2 linked regions of the Anolis sagrei genome follow. The protein of the gene in region 1 purifies or fractionates together with the protein of each later gene. This does not show direct contact. Links are inferred from orthologs where the notes say so. Each region holds a gene or a part of one and is shown in the gene's direction. Other genes may lie near its edges.

Region 1 (7,122 bases):
CTAACATGGCTATGCCTTTGAATTCTAAATCAAGTGAATGGTGATTTGCTCAGTTCTATATATTTGTTTGCTTAATTATATTGAAACTTTCGTTATGCCTTATCAGCATACTTCAGAAACATTTTCTTTTGGATTTTCTCTCTCTTCCTTTAAGTGTGATGCATTGGTGACTCATCTGCACACTAAAATGGAAGATTAGTGTCATATTTCCAGTCAATGATTTCATTACCTCAGAGGTATCTTGCACTATTATACAAGTTGAGTCCCCCCCCGCATTTGAAATGTTTGGGACACAAAGTTTTTTGGGTTTCAGGACCCCCCCCCCCCCCACACACACACATTTTGGTAAACCTATATTGGCATATTCATTGTGAATGAGGGATAGGAGGGAGGAGGTTAGTCACTGTGTCCAGTGTCCATCCATCCAACCCTGCCTCAGTAAGCCCCTGCCCCATCCCATCACTGCAAAAAACTCAATGGGGGAAAGAAAAGAAGAAGTGGGGAGTCCACTTACACAAGCTCCCAGCAAAAAAGAAAATCCCAGATATATTTCCCTAACTGTCAAGCACAGTTTCAGCTCTTCTAGCAAAGCAGTTGGGTTCAGCGCTAGATTCAGGCAACAGCCAATAGGGTGGCTCCATGTTCGCCTTCTCAACCATTTCCAGGGCACCCGCCTCTCAGTGTGCTTTCATTGGCCAGGTTGGAAGACTAAGTGTCCTGGGTGCCAATCGTTTATTTCCTTTGTGTGGGCTCCCTGAGGAAAAATCAGTAGGCACTTGACATGTGGACTAAACCCTCTTCCCCAAAGATGGAAGTGGGTGTTTGGCAGCCAAAAGTTTCCCTATAAGGGAGACTCAATCAGTACAATTAAAAAAACAGTTCTCTTCACTCCCTCTTTCCTTTACTCTCTGCTTCCTTTGCTATGATACATCGTTTGCTTTGTGTGTTTTGCTGCTTTTGCTCTCATTGTCCCACTGCCTACCATTTTACTTCTTTTAGAGTAGCCTGTGTGTAGACAATTCCCTTCAGTCTGTGTTTCAGCCTTGAATGCTGCTATGCTCTCAGCCTTGATAAGATGAATTCTTGTATGTATTTTACAGTGTTGTGGTTGCTTAAATGTGAAACAGCTTTGTGTGTTTATGGAAAGGGGTTGGTCATGATTTGTATGTGTACGCAAGTGTCTCAGTGCTGGCTTGCATACTCATTTTCTTGCGGGGGGGGGGGGGGAGGGAGGGAGGTGAAGCTTTCTTCACATACTAAGCTGTAACCTTTTCTTGTATTTCCAATAGTCCAGGGAAAAGAGAAAGCTGATGCATTTCTGTGTGAGGTGGCAAGTAATGGTGGATCATAGAGATAACTAGAGAATGGCTAGTTATCATCTTTCCAGTCAAACATACACAATATGTTATTGCGAGGAAAATACGTGATATTGTCATGTGAGCTATCCAAGACTCCTTGGAGAAAGGCTTCTTCCTACAGAGTCAACAAACTGAAAATTGCATCAAATGAATTAGGTTTCAGCAACCATTTTGTAGTACGTACAGTCATACTATTATGACTGATAGAAAAGTCAGATTTGCTCCAGTGTTTCAGCGCTTGTGGTAAGACTAGGTGTTTTTAATTTGTGTGATTTTAAGTATGGAACCTGAAGATTAGCTGGAATAGAATAAAATGCTCTGGTCTTTATGTGGGGCAAATGGAACACTGACTCTTTCAGAAATTAAAAAAGCATTGAGTAGCCATGTACCTATAGCTTTTACTAAACAGTTTCTAGTTAGAATAGTGTATTAACAACTATCATGTTTCTAGCTGTGTGTCATCTCCTATTAGACTATAGATAGATCTGGTAAATCTTTTGTTTCCGGTGATCTTAAGAATTCAAGTTAAATGCATAGTCTTTTTTTTTTACTATTCAGTAGCCATTGCTTCTGCATAATCTCTCATTAATATACTATACCACTTGGCTAGTGTTTCTTTTCTTTGTAGCTGATATTGCAGCATAGGGTTCTATAGACACAGATAAACAACATCACTCTTATACCTACCTACACAGAAAGGTTTGAATGTAACATTTGTTTATCTGTGACATTTGTATATGACTCCATGGATTTTCCATCCATTTTCAGATTACTTTTGCTGCTTCAAGTGGCTGATGCACCCCCCCCCCCTTTTTTTAGAGGTTAGTTTCTCGATTATTCTAAAAAAGCAGGATGAAAAAACACTATGCAGATACATTTGGAGTTTTATTGCTGCCTGTCCATGAAAATGTGGGTAGGATTTGAAAGGAAAAAAATGCTTCCCTCTCAGAGAAGCTGTACAATTTATATGTGAATTGAGCACTACACTTCTTCACTGATACAGCCTGAAAAACAGCTTTGGCATGGAACATAGGGATTCTTCTGAGAGTTTCCTTGTGAAGTGTGAAAATGATTGTTATCTCAAGAAAATGTAACCACAGCATGAAGCACAGTAGTCTAGGATTATTTCTGTGCATTGGATTATAAATGTGTGACTGAATTGAAATCCACATTGAAAAGGTTTGTGTCTGTGTGTACTAATTTTGATTATATCACTTGCTGAGATTTTTGGAAAAATATTTTAACTAGCTTTCATTTGATGTGATTATTAAACCAATCTGTTCTAGAAGGCCAGTTAAAAATAGAGTTGATTTGGTTGTTGGCCTTACTGCTTTCAAGGCACAATGTGCCATTATCTATAGCTTCCTTGTTTATGTGAATTTCCAGTATATACTTCTGGATAATTGCTTGTTTCATTCTGATTTTGATACAAAGCATGATTTTCTTACTATCTGCCTCTTGTTAACCATTTTTTAAATTGTCAATTTGTGCATTTAAAAGATTGCTGGTCGAGTTTTGTTAATGTTTCACTATCTGTTCAGATATGCATTTATCTACAAAATAATTTGCGGATTAAGTTGATTTCCTCCTTACTTGTCTCTTTTGCGACTCCAGATAATTAATTTAAATATAAGCATTATTTGAGGGCATATGTGAAAACCTGTTCTTTGAAATGTTTCATCTAGAACTATTTTGCTTCCCACAGCACAGCAACGTCTCTTGGTAACAAAACTGCAACACAGGCTGTTTTTTTTTACAGGAGAATGAAAGCTCATTTTGTTCTTGGAATACTGTGCTTTAAGAGCTGGCCCTAAATCAAACTGGTTGTTTGACAAATTATGCTCTTGCACTAAAATGACATTTCCTTTTTAAAAATCCTGTCTTTTCAAACGAAATTTTTGTTTAAGGATTTTACATGAAACGTGCTAAATTCAGAAAGCACTTGCATTGTTCCTCCCTGTTGTGAAAGCAGCTCTGGTATTTTTCCACACACTGAAATTCAACCCTTTGCAAGGCCTGCATCTTAAAAAAAAATAAAGAAAGCCGAATGTGATAGGGTTAATGGGCAGGAAGCTGCAGCTGCAGCAGACTAATAGGAAAGTCAGATTTTTGTTTAACTGACAACTTTTGAAGGCCTTAGGGATGAGAGAAGGGGCTGTTTGTGAAAAGAGCACCTCACACATTACTGAAAAACAGCTATTTTCTGCATCCTACATATTTAATTAGGAAATGGGTATTGTAAGTGGTCAGGAAGCCATTGTCCTACGTTAGATTGTAACCTGCATTGTCTGTGTTAGTAAAAATCCATAGTGTGAATTCTTAAATCTCCCTTAAACATTATTAGTATGTGTGGAAGAGTTATGTTTGCTTTTTGAGCTGTGTAGCTGTTATATAACAGATGAACTTCAGCTCTTGGCCTTGTCGTCTGCTGTGTGTTTCACTGCATGCCTTATGCTGTGTTGTTTGTGGGTGTGTGACTGCAAAAATTTTTGCTTCCAGCGTGGCTTTTAGGGGAGTTTTTAAAAAGAAAATTGTTGCTCTCCCCGAAGGCAAAGCAGCTTTGGTGACCTATGGAAACCTGCAGGTTTTTTCAAAACTTAAACAGAACCAACAGATGTCGTTGGAGAAGCGTTTCCTTTGGACTGGCACTTGGTGCTTGCTCTATTCTGCTGAAAAATCTACTCGTTGAGAGTCATTTGCTTGTGTGTGGCTCACGTTTTAAGTTTCTTTTGCTGAAACGGGCCTAGTTTAGCCTGTCTTCTCTGTGCACAGGATGGCTCCTGCTTGCCAGAGCTGCACAAAGATAATCGCTCAGGAAGTGTTTCAGCCAATCCCCTGAAGCTTTACATTCAGATTTTCCAAAGTAGCCAATCCAGGATTAGCTTTTATTAGGAAGACAGATCATCAAGCTGAAGTGCCAAGCCCTTTCTGTCTGAGTACTGAGAGCCTGTCCTCCATGTTTTATAAGTATTGACATAACACTGTGTTAACAATGCATCCACAGAGGTAAGCTTGACTTTTTTACATTTTTTTTTCCTCTGAAACCTATGAGTTGTGGCTTAACAGTGTGATTCTCTGTGATCTGGTTCGCAAAACTGGCCCCCAAAGCACTTTATTAAGTTGAAAATGTTTAAATTTGCTTTCTTGGGTCACATGGTTTAGTAGCCATTAGCCATAGTTTTAAATGTACAGAGTGGCAAAAACGTTTGCATACATACTTCTTCACAGGAGGCTAGTGGGCTGTGAGTGTTTCTCAAGATCCTGCTCTTCCAAAGCAGCTCTCTGTGTCTGAGCAGTTTGCCTGCACTATTGTCTGTTGTGTCACATGCTGCTGGAGAGAAAATGGAAGCTAGGGAGCAGATGCACTGAACTGCCCTACAGGGAGACAAGCAGGGATCATGGCAGACAGCAGAACAGGCAAGTTTACCTTTTCAAACAGGGCAAAGAAGGGCAAGGCAAAGTGATCCTTGAAAAAGCATAGGATTTTTAGCTGCCTGGACCACAAGAAATAGTGCTAATGGGAGATTGCAGATACTGGGCCTAAGTGGTGGAGTGCTATTGCATCATGTTTTTGTGCAGCTTTACCTTAACTTAAATTTGATATTTTACTTTTTCCTTACAGGAGCCTTAGATGCAGTGTGTGTATATTTTCTGGAGGGCAATCTCTTGCTTACCAGCTGTCTCTTTAAAAAGGACTTTTCTTATTGTAGATTGTAGAAACAGTTAAGGTCTAGGTCTGAAGCCATCAGGCATAGCTATGCATATTTCAGTGCCAGCCTATTTAAAGACAACATGTTTTTTGAGCTGTTATCTATGTCCTTTTCTGTAGTACAAGTAAAACTAATGGACTTCTTAAATGTGCTTTTTTCTTTTGCAATATATCAGGCACAGTTCTCTGAGGTGGAGTGATATAAAATCATGTGTGGTTCATGGGAGTATTACATGTTCATTTTTTCCCCCTTTTCTTTCGGGCTCTTCTGATTTTTGGCATGGTGCTACGTAATTATTTCAAAAAATTCCTTTTGGTCAAATCCCAAATCTGCCAGCTTGTTGTATCCTATTTACTGGAAAAATGAGATGGTTGCATGAACACTTGGTAAGTAAACTTGTCTGCTATTCTCTGATCATTTTGCACTATTTTTAATCTTTCTTGCTTTTAACAGGACAAACTTAATCCAGCCAGTTAAGTAAAACTGTGGATAGCTTAGTGAAGTAAAACTAATTTTGTTGATGTTTGTTCAGTATTTGCCTTTATACAAACTGTGTGCCAGTGTGATTTTTCAGTTTTTTCAGAGTCTTCTGCCACATTGTGTACTTCCTGTTTTCCATTGAAAATGAAATTCTGCTTACTCTTTGTTCCTAGATCTTTCTAATTAATGCATTTTTCAGGTTAAAGCTCAATTCAGACTTTCCCCAGGCTTTTGAAGTGTGATGAATGTGCTAGTTCTCTGCAAACTAATCTTGCCACATTGTTACAGGGCTATTCCACAGTTACCCCTCTGCTTTTGTTCTCCTGTGATATATCATCCAGCATGAAATTTGGTTTTAGAGCCACATTTGAGTAACTTGTGCTTTTTAAAAATAATCTGGGGCTGAGACATTTGTAAGCATGTCTCCACAAGCAGCTTTTTCAGTGGACATTTTCTCACAGCATAACAGAGGCTCTGCTGTGAGTTGTCTGTACACAGCCCTGCTTGTTATACAATACAAATGCATTTTGCGAAATGATGCCTTGTTACCATTTATACAGGGATCCCATGCAATTGATAAAACTATTGCCTGTATTTAAAGTGAAAACCCCCAAGTATGTGTATTACTCAAATGCCTCATTCAAAAGGATTCTCTCTTGCCCTCCTCCCCACTCCTAAAAGTGCTGAAGTTCAGTGTTAGGTTTCTCTGCTATTTTATACATTCTTTGCTTGTAGAAGTGATAGCAAGAGATTGCTGAGCAAAAAGTTTAAGTTCTTCTACTGTCAAAGGCATATTTTTGTCTTGTAGCAGGGCATTGTGCATTAGCAGATGGGCGTGGAATCGGAACATTACCCAATATTATCTTATGAAGAAGCAGGAAAAACGAGCAGTGCTCAGAATGCCTGAATTAAAATGGCTCCCTTAGGTTTAGCTGAAGAGGGATGTGTCTCAAATCTGTGCCTCCAGAGATATTGCTGACAGGGGAAAGCATGCTTGCATGGGCAGCTCTTGTGCACATAATAAAACACAGCACCACAAGTCCCCTGAAGTTCACCCTTTTAAATTGTTCAAATGCAAATTCTTTCATAGTTCACAAAATATAAATGTCTGCATTGCAGCAAGATGTCTGAAGCGAGGAGAGACAGCCGTGTTGTTCCCAGGATCAGCCCAATCATGCTGCTCTCCTCAGAGCTGGAGCCAATAGAAAGAGAGGAGAAGTTAAAGATTGACAAATACTGTAGCCAGGCGAAGAAAGGCCTTCTGGAAATTTCTCCCATCTTTGTTCATCTAAGTAAAGCAAATTCAGCCAATCTGAGAATTCCACATAATTCCCAATTCTTTGACAGTGTATTAATCTGTCACATTCATGAATGGCACGCACACAGATAACAGGGTGCTCTCTCCCCCCCCCCCCCCCGTTTTTCAAGCAGGTGATATGCATTGTCTTAAACAGCAGAGGCTGGGTAGGTGGAGGTGCTTTTACTGACCAGACACAACAGATTTTGGTGATGAATGCTGCAGGTCTTGATGGTGACTTGTTTTATCAGGAACCACATAACTGAGCTGTAGTTCT
Region 2 (7,773 bases), about 87 Mb from region 1:
AACTGAAGTCCAAGTGGCTTCAGTGGCATGGAATGCTTTTACTAGGCTTGACTGATGTATCAACAAAATCCTACTTTGGATAGAAAAGACTTAGCTATATACTGTTAGCTTGCTTCCTGAATTGCTGCAATAACTTGTATGCAGTCTACCTCTCAAGATGGTCCCAAAACTTCACTTTGTGCACAATGGAGTAACATGATAGTTCATAAGGATTTATGTTTCTGACCACAACACCTCAGTTAGCAGTTCCTAGACCTTATGTGAACTGTTGGTCATAGGATGAGCAAAGTATAGTGGAGAAAACAGGGCTGTGAACTCCAAATATTGCTGAATTGAAACTCAGTTAGCAATTCCTAGATCTTATGTGAACTGTTGGTCATAGGATGGGCAAAGTATAGTGGAGAAAACAGGGCTGTGAACTCCAAATATTGCTGAATTGAAACTCAGTTAGCAATTCCTAGATCTTATGTGAACTGTTGGTCATAGGATGGGCAAAGTATAGTGGAGAAAACAGGGCTGTGAACTCCAAATATTGCTGAATTGCAACTCCCAGCATTCCTTAATAATAATAATAATATACTTTATTTATATTCGCTCTATCTCCCTGAGGGGAGCAGATTACAGAATACATATATGTCGTTATACAATTAACAAAGTCAGACAATACATAGATAGAGGCAAGGCTTCCCTCTTTTTCATTTCTGGCATCTGGAGGCTGTGCTTGACTTCAGTTATGGGGAGGTGCTGTTGTTCCATTTTTCCATGCCGAAGAGCCTGTTGTCCGTCAACACCTTTCTGAAAGAATTGCTGGCATGTCTTCATGGGCACCTTTAACCTCCCCGCCAAAGCGGTTCCTATTGATCTACTCACATTATTGTTTTTGAGCAGAAGCTAGGACTGATGGCGGGAACTCACCCTGACTCGCAAATTGAACTGCCATCCTTCTGGTCAGCAAGATTTTCTGCAGCTGACAGTTTAACCCGCTACTTGCTGGCTGGGATGCTAGGATTTGGTAATTTAGCAACAGTGAAGTTCAATAGTACACTTGCCCAAACTTATTATTAAATAATAATTTTTAGGATCCACAATAGTATAATGGGTGGCTGCCAGAGAAAGAACTTTCTTTCTGGTGGTTCTCTTCCCATGGAATGCTCTCATGAGAAAAATTCACCAGACTTTCTCCTTGGTAGTATTTAGATGCCAAAAACATTTTAAGATTGGGCCAGATATATATAAAAATGTAAATAAATAGGTAGACATTTGGACAGAACTATAAACAGCAGACATTTGTTTTATTACAAGCAGCCCACAGGTTATTCCAGAACAGTCCGGCATGCCAAAATCCTTCACCAGCTGGTTCAAGCCAAAAAATAAACAACTCCTCTTTTGTCCATGTTGGACTGATTCTCTGAAGTGAAGCAATACCATTATGGAAAGATGGGCTGCAATTCTTAGTTGAGGACTCCACAGACACCGCTGGAGGTTCTAGAGTTCTTCCTTTCCCAATGCTTTACTGGTGTGATCACATTTTCCATAATAAGTTCCAAAAGTCTGGTGTAGCTCCAGGATCATCTGCACTTTCCTAGAGTTTACTGTAGGTCACCACAGAAGCCGTGCCTGCAATGCATTGGCTTAGCCTTGTGCCACTGTGATTTTATGTACGTAAATTCTTGTAGCATTCAGCCTAAGGAATGGGTCTGTTATGTCTAGCTAGAGACAGGTACTGAAATGAAAATCCCATGTTTTCTGTTTTGCCTATGTAGATATTTTTATCTGAAAAGTAATTTGTTCAGTAGCAAGTGTCTCATGCCACTTTATACACAAATAGAGCTACATTTCCATACATTGGAGTTGCCTGTATGGAGTATCTGTTCATTGGAAGATAGACATAGGAATATGGTGTGTGTTTGTGTGTAAAGAGTGGGACCAAATGGTAATAAAATGTAAGATTTCTGACTCAGTGATGAATGAAAGTCAAAGGGATGAGATTAATCCCTCACATCAGATGGATGAATTAGTCCCACCCTCATGGTCCCCATGAGCAGGATGGCTCTCTTTCACAGCTGTAGTAAATGCTACAGCAGAAGAGTGGCAGTTGTGGTTCCCTGAAGTAACTTCATTAGTATCTTAGTGTGAGGCTCCTGCCTACTCCGGATTTCGTTTTCAAGTGGTCCCCACAGAGCAAGTTGTCATTGCATCACTCAGAAGGGCCCAACAAGGAAAATCCCTTAGATAGCTGTAAACTAGGCTTCACATCAAGGCATCCAGTTGTTGGGCAAGTAGTGGCAATAATGGAGGGGGAATGGATGGGAGGAAATTTCCCACCTTATTCAGTATTATGCCATCGCTTGAAGTATAAATATACATAAAACAAGCATGATGATATTGTTTATATTAAAGTCCTTGTCAAAAACTACCTCTCCCATTTCAAGGCCATTTGGACCCCACTGATTGAACAGTATAAAAAGAATGGATTTAGTATCGAAGGTCCCTTCTATGCTGGCCTATATCCCAGGATGTGATCCCAGATTATCTGGCAGTGGAGATGCATATAATTGAGTTCAAAGCAGATAATCTGGGATCAGATCCTGGGATATAGGGTGGTGTAGAAAGAACCTTTGCTGCACTTTGTTTCCAAATCGCTTACTCAGAACAGTGGCTCCGAAGTTTTAAGCAAGAACAAGAAGGAAAACATGGCAAAATAACTAATTTGTAAAGTTCCTTAAAAAGAGAAACAGTTGAGGCAGGATATCTTGCCTCTTGAAGGAAATAACTGGCAGTTTCAGCCTGTACATCCTTCAGGGTACAACTTGGGAGGTTTGTCAAGAGTGAACTTGCTAGACAATAGAACTTTGCTCAAATTGTCAAATGAAGGGATATCTATTTCTAATCAGTCCATCTTTTTCATTGTATTTTTTTTAAAGACTGTAAATGTATATAGCTTTTTTTTGGAATAAACTGCAATGTAGACTACTTTATTAAATATTTTATTATATTAATGCACCACTAATAAAACTGAATTGGAAACACACCTGTTCTAAGTCTTGTTTTGGAATGAGTTATTTCACTTTCTGCTTCCTGTTCTTACCAAGCAATATTTAGGTGTCAATTAAAAGCTTTGGGATGGATGGCATATGTTCTGTATCAGAAACTATAGCTGATGTGGTCTATTCAATGTAATTTTCTGAATCAGCATCCCAAACCGAATCTAAAATTGACAAAAACTGACTCATAATGCCTACCTGCGTGACTGCATCTCTGTATACGAACCCACACGATCCCTTCGATCATCCGGAGAGGCCCTGCTCTCGATCCCACCAACATCGCAGGCGCGATTGGTGGGGACGAGAGAGAGGACCTTATCGGTGGTGGCCCCTCGACTCTGGAACTCACTCCCTAAAGACATCAGACAGGCCTAACTGGCAGTCTTCAGGAGGAGCTTGAAGACATGGCTGTTCCAGTGTGCCTTCCGGGAATAATGATCCCATAGCACTTTGTCCTCCAAAGCACCTTACATTACTTTAGGTCTGCTCGTATGCCCTTCCGCAAACACCACTATCACCTTTTCGTCCATGTCCCAGCATTATTTCTAATTTTAACTCTACATTTGGCCTTCCCACTGTTTTTAATTGTGTGTTGTCTTATTGATAATGTTGTATATTTTATTGTCTATGTTTTTATTTTAATTGCTTGTATTGTTGTTACTATTGCTTGTATTGTTGTGTTTGGGCTCGGCCTCATGTAAGCCACACCGAGTCCCTTGGGGAGATGGTAGCGGGGTACAAATAAAGTGTTATTATTATTATTATTATTATTATCCTTTTGGTACTAATGTTGGGAGAGTGGTCTCTGGTCAAAGTGGTCCCTGGTCAAAAAAAGCTTGGGAACTATTGTTATAAATGGAGATGAAATTGAGTAAGTGACTGAATATGTATATCTTGGACAACAAGTTGTTGTTGTTGTTCATTCGTTCAGTCGTCTCCGACTCTTCGTGACCTCATGGACCAGCCCACGCCAGAGCTCCCTGTTGGCCGTTACCACCCCCAGCTCCTTCAAGGTCAGTCCAGTCATTTCAAGGATGCCATCCATCCATCTTGCCCTTGGTCGGCCCCTCTTCCTTTTTCCTTCCACTTTCCCCAGCATAATTGTCTTCTCTAGGCTTTCCTGTCTCCTCATGATGTGGCCAAAGTACTTCAACTTTGTCTCTAGTATCTTTCCCTCCAGTGAGCAGTCGGGCTTTATTTCCTGGAGGATGGACTGGTTGGATCTTCTCGCGGTCCAAGGCACTCTCAGCACTTTCACAACAAGTACAGCCCTATAATTTGGCAAATGGTGAATAGGCAAGACAACCCAAGGTTCCTTGGGCGGCTTTTAATCTAAACTGGACAGTGCTAACATTTAATAATCTGCCAATGAAGGTCTGAGCAGATATACTCAACACTACAGTTCTACCGGCAATATTATATGCATCTGAAACATGAACAACAAAATTAGAGGAGGAAAACTGGTGGTGACTTAGAGCAATGGGAAGGGTGTGGGGTGACAATAAAAGAGCAAGTCAGCAACAAAGAGCTGGCTACTAGTATTAAAAATATTCCAAAGGCTTGTCCAAAGAGCCAGTTCTTCGTTGGCGGCCTCCCTTCCTCCTATTTGCAAAAGGCGCCCCACCACGCGCTTCCCGCCCTTGCTCCTTCGCCCCTCCCCTTCCAGAGCCGGAGTGCGCGCGCAGCCTGCTGGGTCTCGCGCAGCCCGGGGGCGGAGCCACGTCCGCGAGGGCAGGGGCCGAGGCTGAGGCGGCGGCGGACTGGAGGCGCCGCGCCGTTCAGGCTGCCTTGCCCTGCCCCTCCCTCCCTCCCTCTCTCCCGCATCCTCCCTCTCTGAGGGGCCGAGACAGTAGTCCTCCCCGCCGGGCCTTCCCTCCTTCCTTTCTTCCTTCCCTCCTTCTCCGGCATGGCTGCCAATATGTACCGCGTCGGAGGTAAGCTCTCCCTTCGCTCGGCATCCCTGAGGAGACTGGGCCGGGCCTGCTCCGTGAGGCATTGTCTCTGAAGCAGCGAGAAGGCGGGCTGAGGAGTGAGTGGAGCCGCCTCTGGGAAGCAGCTCGAGGCCTCCCCTCCCTCCCTCCCTCCCACCGGCCGGATGCTCCAGGAGTGAGGCTGCGCGGGGGTTCAGCCAAGACCAGGCGCCCTCCAGCTGTGGGGGTCTCCAACTCCCCGCTTGTTCGGTGGGAGTTGTAGGCCCGCGCAGTTGGAGGAGGCCTGGGCTGGAGCTTCCCAGAGGATGCCCGGCGCCTGTCACGTTTGCAGCCCTCTGTGGCCCACGCAGGCCGGTCCCTGAGCCCTTCTGTCAAAGCAAGAGGGCTGATGCCGACTGTGGAGCGCGGTCCCTTTTGTTGTTGCCAACTCTTCTTCCTCAGTAGCCGGGAAAGAGTGGCCCAAGCCCCATCTCCACTGCCTGTTTGGAACTGTATTGTTACACGACAGTGTAGGTCAGGCATGGGCAAACTTGGGACCTCCGGGTGATTTGGACTTCAATTCCCACAATTCCTAACAGCCAGAAGAAGAAGAACTTTATTTTTCTACCCTGACTCCCAGGCATGTAGCCGGGGGGGGGGGGGGGGGCTTGAAGGGCTTCAGCCCCCTCCCCCCCCCCCCCCGAAATGCTCATGGTGGTTCACGAAAAGGCCTTACTGGTGCATTATTTAAACTGTTATGTTTATTCATATCATGATCTGATCACCATACATGCATGGGGGTATTGGGGTAATGATACAAAAGGTTTGCTAGCGTAGGCCCTCTTTCACTCAGACTCAGCCCCCCCCCCCCCAAATCAAAATCCTGGCTACGGGCCTGCCACCTCCTTTCTTACTTAGGTGATCCCTCGTTTTCCGAGGAGGATTGTCTCCCAATATTCTTGTGGGTCCGTATGTGGCTGTGGAGCTCTATTCTTGCTCTGCAACTTCTTTCGCAGTGAGGGCATTGGTTTCCAGGTGGAAGGGGGTCTTGGTCGGGGTTGGCTTGACGTGCCTTCCTCTTGGCACGCTTCTCCCTTTCACCCTCCATTCGTGCCTCTTCAAATTCTGCAGCATTGCTGGTCACAGCTGACCTCCAGCTGGAGTGGTCAAGGGCCAGGGCTTCCCAGTTCTCAGTGTCTATGCCAGAGTTTTTAAGGTTGGCTTTGAGCCTGTAGGACTGAAGACCGACAGGTCGCAAGTTCAAATCCGGGGCAGGCGGATGAGCTCCCTTCTAACAGCTCCAGCTCTTCATGCAAGGACATGAGAGAAGCCTCCCACAAGGATGATAAAAACATCAAATCATCCAGGCGTCCCCTGGGCAACATCCTTGCAGACGGCCAATTCTCTCACACCAGAAGCAACTTGCAGTTTCTCAAGTCGCTCCTGACACAACAAAAAAGAGAGAGAGAGAGAGAGAGAGAAGCCTCCCACAAGGATGATAAAAACATCAAATCATCCGGCCACCCCCTGAGCAACATCCTTGCAGACGGCCAATTCTCTCACACCAGAAGCAACTTGCAGTTTCTCAAGTTGCTCCTGACACGACAAAAAATAATGAGAGAAGCCTCCCACAAGGATGATAAAACATCAAAAATCATCCAGGCGTCCCCTGGGCAACATCCTTACAGACGGCCAATTCTCTCACACCAGAAGCAACTTGCAGTTTCTCAAGTCGCTCCTGACACGACAAAAAAAAAAAAAACTCCCTGAAGGGACTCGGGGCGGCTTACATGGGGCCCAAGCCCAGGCAGAGTACAATTAAAATAAAGCAATAACAATTAAAACCCCAGCAACGTGTCCCAGAAGCACTTTACTAGAGACTTAAGATTGTTCGCACATTGCACTTACCGAAAAATCCTTATATTTCAACTGTCATACTCAGCACTTTTAATCTGTACCCATCTACACTTGGCCCGGCCTTAGTTTTATTGTGCTACGGTGTAATGTTTTTACTGTTTACTGTTATTGCTTAATGTTTTCATTTGTTTTATGGTTTATGTGTATTGTTGTATTGTTGTTTTATTGAGGCCTTGGCCTTTGTAAGCCACATCGAGTCCTTCGGGAGATGCTAGCGGGGTACAAATAAAGTTAATAATAATAATAATAATAATAATAATAATAATAAAACAGCATAAAACAACATAACAAAAATAGCTAGCAACAACAATAACAGCAGACTAATTTTGGGGAGAGGAAAACCACTACGTGAACTAGATAAAGGATAAAGTGGTTTAGTAAGGTAGATGACAATGTATGAAGGCATAGGAAAAATCATGGAAACAGAGCAAATTAACAGTATCAGTTAATATAATATAGGACATCAAATTGAATGACAGTTCAAGTCATAATAAAGTGGGAGTTGAAGTCCAAAACACCTGGAGGGCCCAAGTTTGCCCTAGTGTAGATGGAGCCTCAGTATTTATCACTGTGCTTTGTCTGGAGTGCCATATTTTACATACAGGTGGGGGGGGGGAGTATTTAGTCAGATACCAATTGTACAAGTTCTCCCACTTAAAAAGATGAGAGAGGCCTGTAATTGACATCATCAACTATGAGAGACAGCATGAGAAAACATCCAGAAAATCACACTGTCTGATTTTTGACGAATGTATTTGCAAATTGTGGTGGAAAATAAGTATTTGGTCCATAACAAAAGTTCATCTCAATACTTTGTTATATATCCTTTATTGGCAATGACAGAGGTCAGATGTTTTCTGGAAGTCCTCATAAGTTTGGCGCATACTGTTGTTGGTATGTTA

The links.
Region 2: the proteins of ZMYND8 (region 1) and MTA1 purify together in Homo sapiens (affinity purification with mass spectrometry; 3 studies listed by BioGRID and IntAct, with this or other methods). This does not show direct contact. The link is inferred for Anolis sagrei from reciprocal best matches to the Homo sapiens genes ZMYND8 and MTA1.

What each region holds. Positions count from the first base shown.
Region 1 is NC_090024.1:219,448,471-219,455,592, reverse strand, and holds the start of ZMYND8 (MYND-type zinc finger-containing chromatin reader ZMYND8), read left to right. Parts: upstream 1-4,111; 5' UTR 4,112-4,350; coding exon of another isoform or gene 4,351-4,364; intron 4,365-4,586; 5' UTR 4,587-4,683; coding exon 4,684-4,775; intron 4,776-5,243; exon of another isoform or gene 5,244-5,443; coding exon of another isoform or gene 5,444-5,454; intron 5,455-7,122. UniProt on the Homo sapiens protein: Chromatin reader that recognizes dual histone modifications such as histone H3.1 dimethylated at 'Lys-36' and histone H4 acetylated at 'Lys-16' (H3.1K36me2-H4K16ac) and histone H3 methylated at 'Lys-4' and histone H4 acetylated at 'Lys-14' (H3K4me1-H3K14ac).
Region 2 is NC_090024.1:132,906,160-132,913,932, reverse strand, and holds the start of MTA1 (metastasis-associated protein MTA1), read left to right. Parts: upstream 1-4,756; 5' UTR 4,757-4,950; coding exon 4,951-4,978; intron 4,979-7,773. UniProt on the Homo sapiens protein: Transcriptional coregulator which can act as both a transcriptional corepressor and coactivator. Acts as a component of the histone deacetylase NuRD complex which participates in the remodeling of chromatin.